5 linked regions of the Rattus norvegicus genome follow. The protein of the gene in region 4 purifies or fractionates together with the protein of the main gene of each other region. This does not show direct contact. Links are inferred from orthologs where the notes say so. Each region holds a gene or a part of one and is shown on either strand. Other genes may lie near its edges.

The links.
Region 1: the proteins of Srprb (region 4) and Tmem259 purify together in Homo sapiens (affinity purification with mass spectrometry; 3 studies listed by BioGRID and IntAct, counting the BioPlex papers as one, with this or other methods). This does not show direct contact. The link is inferred for Rattus norvegicus from reciprocal best matches to the Homo sapiens genes SRPRB and TMEM259.
Region 2: the proteins of Srprb (region 4) and Rnf185 purify together in Homo sapiens (affinity purification with mass spectrometry; 3 studies listed by BioGRID and IntAct, with this or other methods). This does not show direct contact. The link is inferred for Rattus norvegicus from reciprocal best matches to the Homo sapiens genes SRPRB and RNF185.
Region 3: the proteins of Srprb (region 4) and Stx18 purify together in Homo sapiens (affinity purification with mass spectrometry; 3 studies listed by BioGRID and IntAct, counting the BioPlex papers as one, with this or other methods). This does not show direct contact. The link is inferred for Rattus norvegicus from reciprocal best matches to the Homo sapiens genes SRPRB and STX18.
Region 5: the proteins of Srprb (region 4) and Srpra purify together in Homo sapiens (affinity purification with mass spectrometry; 6 studies listed by BioGRID and IntAct, counting the BioPlex papers as one, with this or other methods). This does not show direct contact. The link is inferred for Rattus norvegicus from reciprocal best matches to the Homo sapiens genes SRPRB and SRPRA.

The regions. Positions count from the first base shown.
Region 1 is NC_086025.1:10,373,497-10,377,704, forward strand, and holds the start of Tmem259 (membralin), read left to right. Parts: upstream 1-1,407; 5' UTR 1,408-1,435; coding exon 1,436-1,657; intron 1,658-4,208. UniProt on the Homo sapiens protein: May have a role in the ERAD pathway required for clearance of misfolded proteins in the endoplasmic reticulum (ER). Promotes survival of motor neurons, probably by protecting against ER stress.
Region 2 is NC_086032.1:82,550,652-82,554,843, forward strand, and holds the start of Rnf185 (E3 ubiquitin-protein ligase RNF185), read right to left. Parts: upstream 2,816-4,192; 5' UTR 2,709-2,815; exon of another isoform or gene 2,638-2,708; intron 2,326-2,637; exon of another isoform or gene 2,033-2,325; intron 1-2,032. UniProt on the Homo sapiens protein: E3 ubiquitin-protein ligase that regulates selective mitochondrial autophagy by mediating 'Lys-63'-linked polyubiquitination of BNIP1.
Region 3 is NC_086032.1:76,883,266-76,886,740, forward strand, and holds the end of Stx18 (syntaxin-18), read right to left. Parts: intron 1,983-3,475; coding exon 1,902-1,982; intron 1,072-1,901; coding exon 976-1,071; 3' UTR 502-975; downstream 1-501. UniProt on the Homo sapiens protein: Syntaxin that may be involved in targeting and fusion of Golgi-derived retrograde transport vesicles with the ER.
Region 4 is NC_086026.1:112,649,298-112,651,536, forward strand, and holds part of Srprb (signal recognition particle receptor subunit beta), read right to left. Parts: intron 871-2,239; coding exon 734-870; intron 1-733. UniProt on the Homo sapiens protein: Component of the signal recognition particle (SRP) complex receptor (SR). Ensures, in conjunction with the SRP complex, the correct targeting of the nascent secretory proteins to the endoplasmic reticulum membrane system.
Region 5 is NC_086026.1:41,816,944-41,821,000, reverse strand, and holds the start of Srpra (signal recognition particle receptor subunit alpha), read right to left. Parts: upstream 2,803-4,057; 5' UTR 2,683-2,802; coding exon 2,566-2,682; intron 1,961-2,565; coding exon 1,877-1,960; intron 1,605-1,876; coding exon 1,441-1,604; intron 1,107-1,440; coding exon 946-1,106; intron 602-945; coding exon 445-601; intron 350-444; coding exon 196-349; intron 1-195. Other genes in the region: Foxred1 (FAD-dependent oxidoreductase domain-containing protein 1), read left to right, coding at 3,078-3,162, 3,915-4,057. UniProt on the Homo sapiens protein: Component of the signal recognition particle (SRP) complex receptor (SR). Ensures, in conjunction with the SRP complex, the correct targeting of the nascent secretory proteins to the endoplasmic reticulum membrane system.

The sequences.
Region 1 (4,208 bases), on a different chromosome or scaffold from region 4:
CTCAGATATTTAAGCGCAGGGAATATAATTACTTTTCACATAGAGTAGTTGTGCTTTTTTGTGTATATAAAGTGATGTCTTTATACGTCAAAAGGAAGGGCCACCCTTCGTAACGACGCTGAACATAATTATCTATGCGCGTAAAAGCTTACAAATTAATTAATGTAGCCATCTGGGAGAAGCTGCACCAGCAAGGCCTTCTGGGAAGCCATATGCAAATTAGACAGATACTACGCGGCTCCGCCCCTCAGTGGTAGCCCAGCCCGATCGGCGGGGAATCCGTGCTCTTGGTGCGATGGGCAAACTGAATGCTGGTAAACTATCCCCATGGAGCTTCGCCCCTAATGAACAGTGCTAGAAAGCTCTGCCTCCCAGGGCAAGGCTGGTAATGATTCCTCAACGGGCTATGCTAATGACTCCCCACCGGACTCCGCCCCTAAGTGAGGCTGTGGCCGTAGTGAAGCCCTATGTAAATAGTAAATAGGCCTTGCTACATGCGTCTCCGCCCCCTCTGATCCTCCGCTAATAGAAAACCCGGTGTAGATAAGACTAGCAACGTCGCCCCGCCCACTAGTTGCAAATGCTTAAGCTTGTTTCTGAGACCACGCCCCATAGCTCGACCGCCGCGAACCTGGTTCCCTACACAAACGAAACGGATTGTACGCGACACTGCCTCAGTGCCTAAGCTCAATGCTTATATATTTGGTTGTGAGCCTAACCTTTAACGGCTGAGCCATCTCTCCAGCCCCTAAGCTCAATGCTTAAGATACAGCTTTGGTCTGAAGAGATGGCTAAGAGCACTGACTGCCCTTCCAGAGGTCTTGAGTTCATTTTCCAGCATCCATTATGGTGGCTCACAACCATCTGTAATGGGATCTGATGCCCTCTTCTGGTCTGAACGCAGCTACAGTGTACTCACATATATAAAAGATTTTTTTTTATTTTAGCTCAGTGCAAATGAGTCGTGACACACGACTCTGCCATAGACCATGCCACAGTGTGTGGGAGTGAATTTTTGCAAATGAACCGGGCTCCTCTCTATTCCGCTCCGTGTAGCCTCCGCAAATTGCAAGCCCAAAGCAAATGAGACCGACCAAAGCTTTAAGGAGGACTAGGAAAATAAACTGAACTCCGTGTTACTCCGGCCTTTTAGCACTGGGGCGACGGGTTTGAAGTTTGAGAGCAGTAACCAGGCTCCGCCCACTTGTGGTGCCAGCCTTCCGGCTCTGAAGCCCGGCCTCCTCGGGCGGCCGTGGCGATCCCAGCGTGCCCCGCGCACGGGTGGCGCTCTGGCCCGGCGCTCTCGCCGGCGTCGCGGGCCGGACGGACGCGAGCACAGGCGCAGGCGGCGGCGGCCGGGGGCGGCGGGGGGGATCCGGCGGCCGGGACACGGCGGGGGGGCAGCCGGCGGCCGCCGGGGTGACGCGGGGCGGTGATGTCGGAGCACGCGGCAGCCCCAGGGCCCGGGCCCAACGGCGGCGGGGGTGGCGGCGCGGCGCCCGTGCGCGGCCCGCGCGGCCCCAATCTCAACCCCAACCCGCTCATCAACGTGCGCGACCGGCTCTTCCACGCGCTCTTCTTCAAGATGGCCGTCACCTACTCACGCCTCTTCCCACCTGCTTTCCGCCGCCTCTTTGAGTTCTTCGTTCTGCTCAAGGTGACCTCTGACCCCTGACCTCTGACCCCAGCTGTCATCCACCTGCCCACCCCCTCAGCTTTACCACTTGGCCCCTGACTTGGCCTGAATACCCTGATGCCAATCTTCTCACAGATGCATCCTCTGATCCCCACTTCCTCAGCTCTCAGGCCCCGCCTCTTGCCCTTTGGCCTCTGACTCTGCCACTTGGGAACCTAGGCCCCAAATTTTTCCACCCAAGACCAGAGCCCAGTGTCTTCTTGAGGTAGTATCTTGGACTCGAGGTCCCCCCCTCCCACCTGTCACTCCCATTCTGTCCTGCACCTCCACTGAGAACAGTGTGGTCAGTTCCATCCCATCCTGAAGTTCCACTGTGGACAACCCCCTGTGCTGGAGGCCCTGTCCCGCCTGTCATTTCCATCCTAACACACCCTGAAGCTCACCTGGGGATAGTCCCCAGCCCTCCCAGTGTCCCTGCTCTTCTCTGTCACTTCTTGCCAGATCTTTTGTGGCTTTGGTGGGGTCACCTCGCTAGGGTTAGCCACAAAGTCACAGCCACATTGGCCAGGGACCTCTGTAGCCAGTACTTGCTCTGCTGTGTCTTCCTGGTGTGCTCCTGAGAGATACTGAGTTCTCAATATAACAAAGGCTACTCCAGAGGGATAGCCACCAGGCTCTGTCCCTAGGCTTCTCTCTGAGAGGAGCTGCCTGGGCCATCTGGTGTTGGGGGCATGGCATGGTGGTGGGTGTGCTGATGTTGGAGGGCATTGCCTTCTCCGGTGGCTTTGGTGAATGTGGGACTGGCTCCTAGCACTGTTTCAAAGCTGTCAGTTTGGGGGATTCATGGAAGTACTTCCAGCATGAGATTGAAACAGATGTGGGGTTGAGCCCCTCAGGCTCCAGTCCACAGTCTGCAGTCTGCCACTGCCCCTTCTTTCTCCCTGCCTTCCACACCCTGAGTCCCCAGTGGTGGCCCTCAGCTTGGGGTACCCGATACCTTGTCAGAGACAGGGTCTGTTGGATGACAGTTGACCCCCCACTTTTTCTTTTTTTTTTTTTTTGGTTCTTTTTTTCGGAGCTGGGGACCGAACCCAGGGCCTTGCGCTTCCTAGGTAAGCGCTCTACCACTGAGCTAAATCCTCAGCCCCGACCCCACACTTTTTTCTTAATCGGGACAGACAAGCCATACAGCAGCTGGTTTCTGGGGCTGCCGAGGTTTCAGGGAGCCCTTTTGCTGTGTTTCCTGCCTACCCAGCTTCCGCCCAACCTTCATAGAGGGGACGTGCCTGGCAGCCAAGGCTGCTAGGCCTGTACCGCCCTGTACCCTGTCCCCACCCCAGCCTGGGTGTCAGCTCTGACAGGCCCAGGGAAGAGCTTTTGGACTTGGTGTCCTCTCTGCTGGCTTCACAGTCTCAAAGACTGAAACTGGGCAGACACAGAATGTGGCCCCAAGCACCTGGGCTAAGCAGCTGACAAGTGGGCGACCGTGGGACACACATGGGATAGACTGTGGCACAGCATGGTGCCTTAGACCTTAGGATGTGGGCCAGCGTCAAAGGGCAAGGAGGTGAATGACACCAGCTCTAAGTGGATCTGAGCCCCAGAAGGTGCTAAGTGGAACCCTTGGGTGGGTTAAGATCTGGAGATCGTGGCTGAGCCTGGTAGTCTATACCCAGTGCAGGTTTCCTATTGGTCAGATGGACTGACAGCTCCAGATGCCAGACTGGGGTGACAATGAGACACTCCCTGCTTACAGGGTAGGAGGTACCCTGAGAACCCTAGATGGTGGCATTGAGGGTCTGCAGGAGGTGATGGCATGCAGTCCCCACCAGGCTGATGTGACCAGGTTCAGTGCCTGTGTATTTGGCACCAAGGGGCAGATGGGGGCGGAGTGCCCAAGGGCCTGAGTGGGATGCCAGGCTCTAGCTCAGTGACAGGCGAGGACTTGTGCACTGGCCAAAGTGGCCACGGTGGGAAGAGAAAGCCCAGGCTATGTCCACCCTTACAGTGGCTACCTCCCTTTGAGTCTAGATGCCCAGTAGGTGGGACAGAGCTGGTGACACAGTTCCTGGCTCTTGGTTGGACTGGCAAGCGTGGCTGCTGGGGTCTCAGCCTGGGCTGGTCAGCCGTCATTTCACCCAATACAAAAATCCATTTCCTGCCCAGGGGAGCCTCACAGTTGACAGGTGTGGGTGCCAGTGTCAAGTGTGGCTGGCTCCACACTGCAGTCTTAGTTTCAGTCCCAGGGCCTTCCCTGTCTGCTCTGCATCCCCTCGGGTCACTGCTCGGAGGGCTAGGTGCTCTGTGGGTGCAGCTCTGTCACCAGATTACAGAGGAGAGGCCTGAGGAGCAGGCACATGGGTATGGAGCCTGGTCTTTGTGCTTGCTCCTGGTCTTAGGTCACGTGTGTCCCCTACAGCGCTGCCTAACAGCAGGCAGGGAGGGCCCTACTGTGCTCGCTGTGGCTGAGCACCTTGGGATTGTGGACTGGGAGTCCAGCCTCGTCCCTGAAGAGCATAGCGACTCCCATGCACACACTGGGTGTGCAGGGCTGCTAAGGACCGTCAGGGCC
Region 2 (4,192 bases), on a different chromosome or scaffold from region 4:
CAGATCTTTATGGGTTTGAGGCCAGCCTAGTCTACAAAGAGGGTTCCGGGACAGCCAGGGCTGTTGCATAGAGAAACTCTGTCTGGAAAACACACAAAAAGACAAAGAAAACAAACAAACAAACAAACAAACCAACAACAAAACATAAAAGTAACGCTGTGTGGGAGCCACCTCAGCAATCCAGTACTTAGGAAGCTGGAGCAGGAGAGGAGTCTGAAGCCACCCTGGATACTACGAAGGAAGGCCCTGGGCTAAGGATATAAAAAAAGAGGTTCTATACCAAATAAATTTGGTAACACCAAGCAAGCAAAACATTTTATTATGCCAGCTTATTATAAAGCCCCAAATTTTTATTGTGAGAACTCTCCGTGCCTTTAATGTGGTACTTGCATTAAAACACTAAGAAAGGATAAAGGTCAGTAGCTTTTCCTGAACTTATTTTTACCACCAAATCCCATTTTCACTTATATCAAGTGTCCCTTTAAAAGAAATTCTCAAATTAATAAGTTTTAAAATCCAACAAATTAAGAGTATTCTCCTCACCACTGAGGACACCTGAGTCTAAGGCCATACTATCTTGAATGTTAGGTAACAACTGAATGACCGTTTCACAACTTTTGTTTTTCAATCTTGAGAAACATAAACAACAGGAAAACAGGCAAGAACTTTTGGATCAGCCCCAACCTTTTGTTTTGTGGAGGAAGTGTCAGCAGAATCGGGTCATAATATGGAACCTTTGCTTCTCCAGACAACATAAGCATTCTTAAGTACTCTATCAGGAAATGGAAGAGATCTACTTCGTGTTTGGTAAAGTGCAAAGTAAGGAAATCTAATGTTAGATTAGAAAAGTCTAGGTGTGCAAGTCAGGGCCATAAAAGAATTGGTCATATATGCTGGATGTATAGCTAGCTTACAAACTGCAGACATTCTCTCACATCTGTACACACACTGCTAGAGAAAGAATTAAAGTTCAGTTTATAAACCATGGAGAAGACTGACCCAAACAACCGCAGTCAGACATCCATTCTGTAATCGGAGTTCACTGGCAAGCAGAGCCTTGGGGAACACGGGCAATCCCAACATTTGGGAGGCTAAGGCAGGAAGACCATGAGTTTAAGGTCACCCTGGGCTACATATTGATACTCTGGAAAAGGGAGAGAGAGATGGAGGGAGTAAGAGGGAGAGAGAGAGAGAGAGACAGGGACAGAAACAGAGACACAGACACAGACAAGGCAAACAGAGACTGACCTAAATTGTCCTCAGCCTGGGCTGAGTGTCAGAGTGAGAGCCTGACTTAAAATAAAGTAAAAAAAAAAAAAATTAAACATGAAACAAAAAATTACTAACCAATGCAATGGATCCCGGTTTATTAATACGACATACATTTCAGATACTTTTTATCAGATGAGTCGTTCCAAAGTCCTTGAAAAGGATGGCAAATGTGACAACCAGGAAAAGATTACATAAGATCAAGTGTGCTGGCCTCACTGACAAGAGATAGAGACTAAGGAGGAGAGCTCAAGAAAGGCAAACAAAGAAATGTCACATTCAACAGGCATAATGGTACTAAGTAACGAGAGATGCTAGCACTCCAGACTGAAGCAGGAGGATCAGAAGTTCAAGGCCAATTTGAATTGCAAGAGGAGCTTGTGGACAGCCTGAGATCTTCGATATCCTGTCTCAGACCACAAAAGAAGTGTCACAAACATTCCGAAGAGAGAGTTATCCATGGAAAGATAGATTCACAATAAATACTCAGAATAAAAGACTTTCGAATTGGAAAGGACCACCTCCTGTATACTTTCTTTCACAAGGAGACAGTCAATCCTATCAGTGGTCACCTCTGATAAGTCTTCCGTTAAATTCTTATTACTATGTACACATTTGTCTTCCCCTAGAACCCACCTATTTAATCCTAGCTGTATCTCTTTCAGCTGCAAAGATTAAGCGGGAGCCCTCTTTGATATAACCCATCCACCCAATCCCCCCACCCCGCGCCAGCTTTTAAAGATAGTTATTCTCCTCCGGCGTTCTTTCCTAAGCTAGAAGTCTCAAAGATTCCAACGGGCTCCAGCTGCCTCGAATCGAATACCGCATTCACAGCGGGACAGCATTTCAGATGAAACACCAGTAGGTATAGGACTCCCGAGGAGAACATTCAAAAGAAGGTTTCCTAGGATCCAAACCCAGATTCGAAACAAGCTGTCGGGAAAGTCCAGGGCTGAAGAGCCCGCATCCCAGAGGATTTCAGAGCAGGCGCTGTTAAGGATCATGCTTTGAGAAGCAGTGCCCGGTTGGACAAGTGTGGAAACTAGGTTCAGTGAGGTAAAGGACTTGGCCTAGAACGCACAATTAGCAGCGAACTCAAGTCCAGGTCTCCTACGCTTCATCCCAAATCTGTTCACCAAGCTCCTCATCTCTCCACTCAACCAAATCACTAACTACCCACGTGAGACAGTCCCGCCCCCGAGGCTAAGAGGGAGTCAGGGCGAGCCCCTGCCTGGCAAGGAGCTTGAGCGCGCCCTTCCCTTTTCTTGGGCCCTAGTTTGCCCAATCTGTACCCAGGAATGCCAGTCTGATCTTTCTTCTGGGACCTGGACAGAGCCAGACTAGCTGTCTCCTGATCCTTGGTTTCAGGTGCCTCTGTCCCTGAGCCCCGGAAGGGGGTCCCACGCCTCCCGGGCCCGCCGTCCTAGCTCGTCACGTACCTGTCCCCGTAGAGCGAGCGCCAGCGACGCCACCAGTCCGTTCCCCTGTCCCACAGTGGACAAGCCAGTCTTAGAGACGCGTCAGTCAGGAAGATTGAACCTCCGAACCCTCCTACCCGGATCTTGATCACCTGACAAGGAGCCACCTCTATTAGAGCAACTTCCGGTTACAGCCGGAAAAGGCTGGTGTGGCAGCACTGCGTTCCGGCCCAGGCGCCGGGTTCTTAAGTTCCGCCCCGGGACAGGAAGGGGAGGGCTTTCGGCCTTTTCCCAGTGTTTCCTGGAGGAGGAAAAGTAGTTCAATGGGTGGCCTTGCTTGCTTCGCCTGCGTGAGGACTTGGGAATAAATGTGTGTTTGCACTCCAGTTAATCACATCATTCATTCGGGTGCTGGATCAGAACTTCAATATGGTTTTCAAAGCAGGCTTGGGATACGTGAGACCGTGTCGCAAAAAAATGGGCGGAAAGGGCTTCCTTCCTTGCTTTTAAAAAAAAAAAAGTCCTAGAGATACCAGCTTAGAATGCCTTGTATTAGAATGTAGGCAGTGGTTGTTCTGTTTTATTTAAAAAAAAAAAAAAGAGGCCAGGATATGTTTTGGTAGAGGCGCTGGTGAGGTGGGAAGGGTGCCTCAGCGGGCCCATCCTTAGGCATCTCTTCCCCGTGAGGCACCAGCCATACCACGGATATAGTTTGGAATAGTTAATTTAGGGCATGGGAAGTGGAGTTGGGAAGGGAGGAGGGAGAGAGAAGAGGCCGGGCAGGGACGCTTGGAGAGAGGGAGGGAGGGAGAGAGAAGGGGAGAAAGGGGCCAGGGAGAGAAGGAGCAAAGACTATGAAGGAGAGAAGGGGCGAACAGCCCCGTTTATAGTAAGCCAGGCACACCTGGCTGTTGCCAGGTAACTGTGGGCGGAGCCTAGAAGGAACGCTAACAGTGGTGATGAATGGGAATGGGTAAAACGACACAGCTCTCTTGAAGACTCTACTAGCCAAGTCCGTGAATTTTCAGTATCAAAATAATAAAGATAGTAAGAGTATAACTAACTGGAGCCCCGTGAGTTGGTTCAGCAGGTAAAGATGCTTGAGGCCAAACCTGTCAATTCTAGTTCAATCCCCAGAAACCCACCGGGGGGAAGGAGTCTGGCAAGTTATCACCTGACCTTCACATGTGTACAGATACACTTAATAAATACATCTTAATTTATTTTAAAACTATTTTATTTTAAAACTGATTAGATGAGCTTGTGACCAAAGAGGGATTTTTTTTTACAGTAGCAAGTGCATTTTTTTTATATTTAAAAAGTGACTAGAAAAATTGATGTTTTAACTTTCAATGTATAAAAAAAGTTAGTTCAGTGCAGGTGAATGCCTTTGCCGTGCAGCTGTGCTTTTTCGGGAGTGAGGGTGGGGGATACAGAGCAGGCACACCTCATTCTGTAGAACAAGAGGGATCTTCCATCCTGGCCTTGGACAAGCAGGAGTGGTA
Region 3 (3,475 bases), on a different chromosome or scaffold from region 4:
TCTACCACTGAGCTAAATCCCCAACCTCCTCCTGTTGTGTTTTCTAACGTAGCCCTTTACCCACTGTGAACTCTCCCAATGTAACGTCTCATGTTCGCTCTGCAAATAAAGAGCTCGTGGGTACCTAAGCCGCACACTGGACATCTGTACTCGTATGCTTCAGCAGGAATTGTGTGACCCAGGAAACATCTGTACACAGATGTAGGCCATGCGGCATACACTTCTAGTTCTCAGCTCGCAACCCTGTGGCCTCTTCTAGAGGAGCAAGTATGCAGGAACAAGGGCAGAAGGCCCACTCTTCTGAGATCCACGTCCTTCTTAGAATACAAATTCTGGGACCCAGCGGCAGGAAATGAGGCTTCCCACGCCCCTAGGCCCTAGCTTTGAGGTTAAAAAGTGTGTGGGGGGATGTGGCAGGTCGGTAGAGATGCCTATGGAGGCCCCAGTCTGTCCAGCAGGTGGCGGTCAGAGGGGCTCAGTGGAGACTCACTGACTGCAATATATGGCTGTAATTGCGTTTATTAGCTTGACAAGGCAGATGTGAATATTTTCTGTGACAAAATGGTGACAAAATATATCAGCCACATATCGGCCACATATAAGCCGGCACACATTAGATGCCACAAGGAAATAAGAACTAACGATTTTAGAAACAGTAGGCATGTTCTTCCCTGAAGCTACTGGTGTGGGAAAGGCAGGAGATGGGGACAGGAGGCGTGCTGTATCCTTGCGTTGCTCAGCCTCCACCATGCATGTGGCCTGTCCTGACAGTGCAGCTCCTGACTACCTTTATCTTGCACCCTGAAGAGCATACAGGGCACTGGCAGTCCATGTATTTCCAGGTCCTGAGGTGCACAGGTTGGTTTGGGGGCCATGCTTTCCCAGCCCTTGGGCCTTACGCAACCCCACAGCAGATGAGGCACACGCTGGCACGTGGTCTGTCCAGGGCAGTGGTGCAGGCCAGGCCCTGGTGGGCTAGCTGTCATACCAGTCGAGGAAGAGCAAGGAAAAGGAACACATCACGAGGAAGAAGAGGATCCACACTCGGAAGCCTGCGTTGTTTTTGATGGCCTGGCAGAGGGAGCACAGGTGTTAGCATCGCCCTGGACTGTTTCAGAAGCCTAGGTGCCCCCACACACCGCTTGGTGGATCCTATGCTCTCATTAGATAGGAACAAAAGCCACTGTGTATGGACACCTGACAGGGAACAAAGACCTTGGATTTAATTTTTAAAATTACATTTATCTCGATGCTGTGTAGGTGGGAATGCATGCTACGGTGTATGTAGGGGTAGGGTCAGAGGAAAATAGAGTTAATTCTCTGCTTCTGTCATGTGGATTTCAGAAATTAAAATCAGGTTGTCCTGCCTGGCAGCAAACACATTTATCCACGGAGCCATTTTGCTTGCTCTGTCCCCAACTTCTTCTTGTTGGGCAAAGCCTAACATCCCAGGACTCAATTCCCCAGGGCTTATTCCCATTTGAACCAGGGCTTGGGTTTTCCAGTGATGCCTATCTATGGTGACACAGGGACAAGCAGGAGGCCTGGGATTTAGAGATGGTCAGCTCATTAGGCTCGGTGCCTTCCATAGTTTCTGGGCTCCTGCCCTCTGTTGGCTCATCCTTGCTTTGAGGTTATCCTGACCCTTCCTGGATGCTCTCCCACCCACTGTCCTCGCAGGGATGGGAGCTACTTTCTCCTGAGAATCGGCTGGAGGCTGGCCAGCAGGTCTTGTGAACACTCTTATGCTCTTAGGCTGCCTCTGACTATAAACCCATGACTACAGCTACAAGATGGGCCCTGAACACTACACAGTACTCTTGGACAGCTTCACTAGTGACATTCAGGCTGCTGGGATGCAGGGCTGGGCCACATCAGACTGGAAAGCACCAGATACCCACCTCTCGTATGTCTTCGTTGCCTTCCTTAATATTTTCAGTTGCCCCCACAACTAACTGGTGAATGCTGTCGATCTCGGTTTCCTGTGGAAGGAAAGAATATCAGGGAAGGAATGACCCTCAGTCATTCTTTCCTCCAACAAGAAAACATTCTTCTGCAATTCGTGCTGCCATGTTCCAAGGTCCAAAGGCTGTACCTACACTGTCTGGGAATCATCTCCAGAGAGGTGAGCCTCACCCAACAAACAGGAATTTACGGCTCAGAGATGTCTACTAGTTTACAGAGGGTCACATACTGTCTGAGTGGCAGGACTAGGATAAGGCTCTAGTGTCAGATTGCACAGCTCACACTATATGCTATCTCTCCAGTGTTACTCATTAAGTGACAAGGACAAATATGAACTGCTGATTCTGGACTGGCCACTCCCACTAAGGGCTCTCCTCCAGCATTCTGTTTATTCTTTATAAGGTCCAGCAGCCAGCTTCAAGATGTTACAGGCTTTGAAACACATTAGCCATCCAATGTTTTAACACATTGCTAAATGGGTAAGAGTTAGAACAACACATGAACTGCTGGCTGCAAATGCCCTGTGTAGATGCTGAGAGAACTTGGAAGTAGGGGTGCTGGCCTCTGACCATGAGACAATGCTATTGGAGACCTTAGCATACCCGCCATGAGGTGCTGTTTTGTCGGAAGGGAAGGAGGTATGCTCTAATGTGGGCTTTGGGGACCCCTTCCTCAGTTACCCAGTCCCCAGCAGAGACATCACTGGAGTGCACATGGCCCATGGGCCAGGGATGTGGGTAGTAGCACACTGACTGGGGAGGGGACACAGAACAGGAGCTGAGGAGTTTGCCATAAACAACCCGAGGTACTGACATAAACACAGTTCAAGGGGCCCTTGGTGGACTCCAGAGGGACACTGACCTCATAAAGCACTGCACCTCTTCTAGGGCACATCTCTTCTTTCTCAGTGGGGCTGTTTGCCTAGACCTCTGGGACAGTAGAAGTCTGAATACTGGACCCTTTCCTGTATGGCCAGCCAGGGTGTGTTACTGGAGTACCATGTAGAGGCCATATTCATGGTGGTGTATGTGGTGCTACTAAAGCAGGGCACTACCTGGCTTGGTCAGAGTCCCACTGAAAGGCCAGGTAGGTCAGTGGTACTACTTGTTGGCTCTGAGAGTGAGGCATGGGGCACCAGCCACTTCATATAATGGGGCTTAGGAGAAGTACTGACGACAGCACACAGGGTGGAGTATCCAGAATGTGGCCTGGTCACCCTGAAAGCTGTATGCTTCAGCCAAGGCGACTCTCCTCAGAGCAAGCCGCTATGCCGGAGCTTGCTTTGATGGCTTCCTCTGTCATGCAGCTGACATGGCCATCAGGCCAAGTGTCTGCACAAAGCCTGTCTCCAGGGCTCATGGCCTTCACACGTAGCTTCAGTAACTCTTTAAGATACTTATGAAGAGGGCTGGAGAGATGGCTCAGTTAAGAGCACTGAGGTCCTGAGTTCAATTCCCAGCAACCACACGATGGCTCACAACCATCTGACATGGGATCCGATGCCCTCTTC
Region 4 (2,239 bases):
CATACAAAACCAAAGAAGCTGGCTGGGGCTAGAGACGGCTCAGTGGTTACAGCACTGGCTTCTCTTCCAGAGGACCAGGTTCAAGTCCTAGCACCCACATGTCAACTCACAACTATCCCAGTGGATCCAAAGCCCTTTTCTAATCTTCTCAGGCACCAGGTATGCCTGAGGATCAGCACTACACACACACACACACACACACACACACACACACACACACACACACACTCTTTAAAATAAGATGCTAAGAGCCATACCACTCATCAGGTATTAGGATTTTTAAAAATCACTGCTGAAAAATGCTCCAGGCTCCTGAGAAAGGCAGGCGTGAAAGACCTATGTTACATGGCCTGGCCGCAGAGCCAACCCAAGTGTGAGCGCTGGGATAAGGGGGAACAGTGGTACGGCCTGTTTGGAAGGAGAGGCCCCACAATCCCCCAGAACCAACAGTACATGGCCTCACAAACTAACATTTGGTAAAGTAAGAGAATTTATGATCTTTAAAAAGCACTGTGTCATAAAAAAAGGCTGTAATATCAACACAGCCTGCAGCTGCGAGTCCTTGGGACAACCTGGTAAAAGACCAGGAAAGTAATAGAAACAGATTTTCAGATTAAACCCCTTAATTAATGTCTAACTACAGCTCCTCCCCCATGCTCAGCAATAACGACTGCAGGTGAAGAACTAGTTCCCAGCAGCAGTCCTCCGAGGATCAGCTGCACGCCAGAAGCACCTTGCTTATTGCAGGCTACTAAGAAGGCCGGTGTGTTCTTCAGAGCCATGCTGTCGATGAGGACCTGGTACAGAAACTCAGCCACATCTTTCACCTCCCGCTGGAACGTTGCACTGTCCACCACGAACACCACAGCCCTGCAGGGACGGTTAGAGGGAAGGACACATGAGTACACAACAGCAAGCAGGAGCCACACAGGATCCCTCCGTGGGACCTGACTTCAGATAACAGCAACGACACCCATCATGTACCAGAGTAACCTCAGACAACAGGTCCTAGGGGCCAGGTGGGGAGAATGTGCGATGGCTAACAGGGCCAGGGCAGCTGGACCAGACACCGCACACGAAACTTCTAACTCAAAGGCAGTCTAATGCAGGCTGCGGCCAGAAAATAATTTTAAAGAAATTAAAACACCTGGTCTCCACTGGCTACAACTATGGGGCATAATTGGACACTAACCCTTGGAATAGGAGCCCTAAACATAAGATTCTATAAGGATTTTCATCAAACCCTCATGGAGGGTGCTAACAAGTGGAAATAGCTGTGGGGTCGGCCTTCCATGTCCTACAGTGACAAAGACCTCCAACCTTATCAATGACACCTGTTCTCTTGGAGGAGGGGATCTGGATCAAAACATACATGAAAATATGCAATTATAAGAGACATTAATCAGTACTCCCAAAACTGGAGTTTAGAGCAATCTAAGCACATGTTTATGGGCTGGACATGTAGCTCAGTTAGCAGACTGCTTGCATAGTAAACACACCCTTTATCCCATCCCAGCCAGCATAAAAACAAGCAAAGTAATCCTGTAATCCGGCACTGAGGAGGTAGAAGCAGGAGATCAAACACTCAAGTTCATTTTTGGCTGAACAGTGAGTTCAAGGTCAGGCTGAGCTACATCAAATTCTACCTCCAAAAAACAAAAAAGTCATAATATATGTTTAAAATTATTTTAGAGGATAATACTAGAAGCAAATAAAAAGAAACAGGTAGACTTTTAAAGGGTATTTTTAAAAGAACACATTGTAAAATAGTAAATATATTAGCAACGCAGTGGAAACTAAGCAGAGGTTCTCTCAGCTGAAAAGGACACAGCAAACTCGGCCGCAGATCTGAGGGGCTAACGCACCACTCGAGAGAGAATCTGTTAGCTCAACTATCGAAGAGCTAGGGCGGAGAGAAGGGCCCATGCTGTGACAAGCCAGACAGCAGGCAGTGCCATTTTTTGCAATCACAGGGTTTGATGAATCAGGCCCAATGTCTATTCTAATCTTTCACTTGGGGATCTTATGCCTGCAGAGTGTCCATTTGCACCTTGTAGCGGTGAGGCACGGAGACCAGATGTCCCAGTTTCTTTGCAATTCCTTTCCACCCACATTAGACTACCTGTGAGTGGCATGCTTTGCACAGAGTGGTTGGTCCGGCTGCCCCCCAAGGCCTCTTAGCATGTAACAGATAACGCCCTTCTGTGTAGGGTGGTGAACTTGAATTCTGAACACCACA
Region 5 (4,057 bases), about 71 Mb from region 4:
ACAGACAAAGTGATCAGGAAAACCAATGGCTGAGGGAAATAGCCCAGGATATACTCTTGTCAACATTAATATTTGAGCCTTGGAGAAACTCCAAATATAGTTCCAAATATAGTTTCCCAAATCCAGATATATCCTCTGTTTCCTTCCCAATTTCTGGCTAATGGTGACCTTCACTCTGACCTTTATACATCTTACCAAGTTGATATCTTCAGAAAGGGCTGCCTCTGGAGTTCCATTGGTGGTGGGAGTACTGTAATCCAAGACTTCCTTGTTAGCACAGCCACCTAGTTCCCACACCCGGGGTGCTTTTTTGCCTTTCTCCTTTGGAATATCTGACTTTGTAGATTTACTGCAAAGGATTACATAAGAAAAAGTTACAGTAGTAAAGTAGCAAAGAACATGAGAAAAGAATTCCACCATCAGAGATTGGTTAATGCTGCTCACCTGGATTTGTCCAGGCCCTTCCCATGCTTCTGAATGAACTCCTCTCTCTTCCTACGTATCAGCTCCTCTTTGGAAAGTTCCCCATTCTCAGGTCCCACTGGGAGACCTGACTTTTCTGCAGGGGCTGTTTTGCTGGTAGCCAAAGGGCCATCAGAACCTGTTAAGAGAAACCTCACTGAAGGAGAAACACACAAATCCCAAGCACCTATATAATACCTACAGTTCTTCCAAATCCTTGCAACCACCAATAACCTTCCTGTTATATGGCATTGCCTACTGGGAAGAGTCATACACTTGAATTGGCTCTAACCTCTAGCTGCTAAGCCTACCCCTTTCCCCAGCTAACTTGAACAAACTTGTACCAAACACCTTGGAGATTACAATGCCAGAAGGGGATGATGGGGGGTGAGCATTAAGTTAAGGGAGGCCAGCAATGACCAAAGGACTACTACAGACCTTTATAGCACTATACCCTAGCATGTTCAGAAAACTCAAACACACCTTCCTTTTTGGACCCCTTTTTTTTGTTGTTTTTTGCTTTTTCCTTGGTCTTTTCCCCCCGTGTTTCAATCATGGATCTCACAGGTTTCTTAGCTTTTTCAGAATCTTCAAATTTCTTCATGGTAGTGGGAGCACGGATCTTACTGCTCTCCTCTGCTTCACTGAAGAGAAAAGAGACTGTTGGTCCTTCTATCCATGTAAGAGGAAGGACTCTTGACTTCAGAAAAAGGTCCCACATATCAAAAGGACAATCAGAAACAAGTTACAAAAATGTGACTGGTTTGAACCCATGTTAATATTGATAAGCCACCTACAGGCAGGGCACTCTTTTTTTTTTCCCTTTTTTCTTTTTCTTTTTTTCAGAGCTGGGGACCGAACCCAGGGCTTTGTGCTTGCTAGGCAAGCGCTCTACCACTGAGCTGAATCCCCAACCCCCAGGCAGGGCACTCTCAGATCATGAAAAATTTCCCTTTATGAAGAGGGAAAGCCTCTCACCGAAGGAGCCGCAGGAAGTCATTTTGGAAATCAAAAGTGCCATTCAATAAACTTAAAGCACTCTGTTGTTGGATCTCTGTGCGGTACTTATCCCGGAACAGCCGGTGCACATCATCTATCAATTTGTCTACATAGGTCAGTGTGAGGATCTTCTGAAAGCCAACCTGTTTATGGAAGGACACAGGGCCAAAAGATCTCCTTACAAGCCAGCCCAGCATGGAAGGAAGCCAACTCAACCCAGGCCTCCTGAGATAGGTTTCCTGTCCTGAGAGGCAGCCAAGCTTTCTACCTTACCCAGAAGTTGCTTTCTTTCTCCCCTCCACATTCCTAATATTTCTATTACTTTATCACACACACAATACCCATAATTAACTGGATTCATCAATGGACATTCTGTTGAGAACATAACTTGTCTTTCTAACATAACCCCACTTACCACAAACACCAGTTCAAACTGGTTGTCCAGTTTATACTTGAGTGTGAGAGCCTCATGAGTGAAAGAGTTGTTACCTCCCCGTTCCTGGAAAAAGAGTGTTACAGCATTCAGGCTATCCACAGCAAAACCAGACTTTGAACTATGTTTGGGAAATAACCAGATATTATCCCGGGCTCAACAAGGGAATACTGAGACATTTCTCTAGCATCCAGCCAGAAAAGGAGACAGACAGACAGACAGACAGACAGACAGACAGACACCAAGTAGGGACAAGGGATAAAGCTGGGAGAGGAGACACGACACGTGGGAGTCAGAAAGTAAACAATCATATATAAACAATCAGATCTTCTAACAGCTGTGAACCATTTAGTTCACCTGAAAGCTGTTCTCACATCCACAGTCTCACCCAACCTCAAAACAATAGAAAACCAAGCTGCCCGGATGAGTGGAGAGAGAGCTCAAGTCTATTAGGACGCCAGAACAGGGCTAGAGCCCCGGAAACGGAAGGTGTGGGGGGCGTCGCAAAGTTTAGGGATACAGTGATCCAGGAAAGGAAGCGATCCTGGGTGGTCGGTAAGCGACCAGTTTGAGGGGGTCAGGACAGAAGACGCGGAATGATTACTGGAAGGGGGACCACGGTCTGGGTCTGAGGGACCAGAGCCCGGAGTTCTGCCCCGCGGGAGTGGTACCTGCAGCAGTACAGAACGAATCAACGCGTTCACGGGCCCGGTGCACGAGTCGCTCACGCCCTGGAAACACCAGAGCACAAGCCCGCCCTTCGAGAAGATGGTGAAGAAGTCAAGCATGATGGAAGCGGGAGAAGACTTGGGGCCGAGACCGGCGCCGGGAACTCGGGCCGCGTCCGCCGCCGCTTCCTGCTGCGCCAAGCGCGGGACACGTCACACCAGCAGCCCCCGGAAACCGGTTCAGCCGCACTTCCGCTACGGGCCGCAGGGGTCCCGCCCCTTCCCCCGCTAGGGCGCGCGGGATGACGTAGGCGCAAGACTAACTAATAGCAAACATGGGCGAGACTCCCAAGGCGCTAGCTCCCTATAGCGTGAAGGGGTGGAGCCTAAAGAGCACTGCCGGCTAATCGGCGCATTCGCGTCTATTCCCTGTGGCGCGGACCGATGACTAGAAAGACACAGTCGGCCTGAGCGGCAGGCACCTCAAGCTGGAAGAAGCCGGGCTCTGTAAGGCCATGTTTCGCAAAGTGCTGCGTCTTGGCCTGTGCCCGGGCCTCCCTACCCGGGGGCTACGCACACGCACAGGAGGCTTTACTCTGGGTAAAGCTGAGGGCAGCAGAGAAAATATTTTAGCGGTTCTGGGGAGCCCAAAACCTCCATATACGTGACCTTCAAGGTTCGACCCCCTGCCTCGTGCTGGCAGGGCATCGAGTTAGCTGGGAAGAGGGGTGGGCTTGCCTGCTAGAGGTTAAAGAGCCAGTCCAAGTGTATGGTTCTCAAGGAGGCTCTTCCCAGTGGACAATAAATGGAAAGTTGCTGGTGGTAATGGATAAGGATAAAGATCATACAGAAGTGCCCGGCTTTAGAAGGGGGACTCGTGTTCTCTGGGCCTGGTATACCTGAGTGGAGATAAATGTGCAGTTGAATATCTGAGAATGGGGCTCGGGAGGGAGAGAAGGTCTGTAAAACTAAGTAATGTGGGGTTGGGGGTTTAGCTCAGTGGTAAAGCCCTTGCCTAGCAAGTGCAAGGCCCTGGGTTCGGTCCCCAGCTCTGAAAAAAAAAAAAAGAAAAAAAAAAACTAAGTAATGTGAGTCACCCTAGCTTGACGGGGAAATAGAAAGTGTAATTTTAGGAAGTTGTTAGAGGAGATGCATGACAGGTGGGACAAAGACCAAACAGCAAAGTTGGAATAATACCCCTGCGAATGAGTTGATCTTATGAGAAAGAATGACGTTGGAGATGTGCCAACCCAAACGTCTATTTCAGCCCACCTTTCCCTGTGCCCATCCTCCAACCCCCAAAGCACGTAGAGAAGAGCCTAAGTCCATCTAACTGTAACTATGTCCTGCAGACTGGGATACAAAGGTGTCTGACTTTAAGAAGAAGATTGAGTCTATCCTGCCGGGAAAGCAATGTGAAATGGTGTATGACACCAGCCACCTGCCCCCAGAACAGTCGGATGTGGTCATCATCGGCGGTGGGATTCTTGGTCTG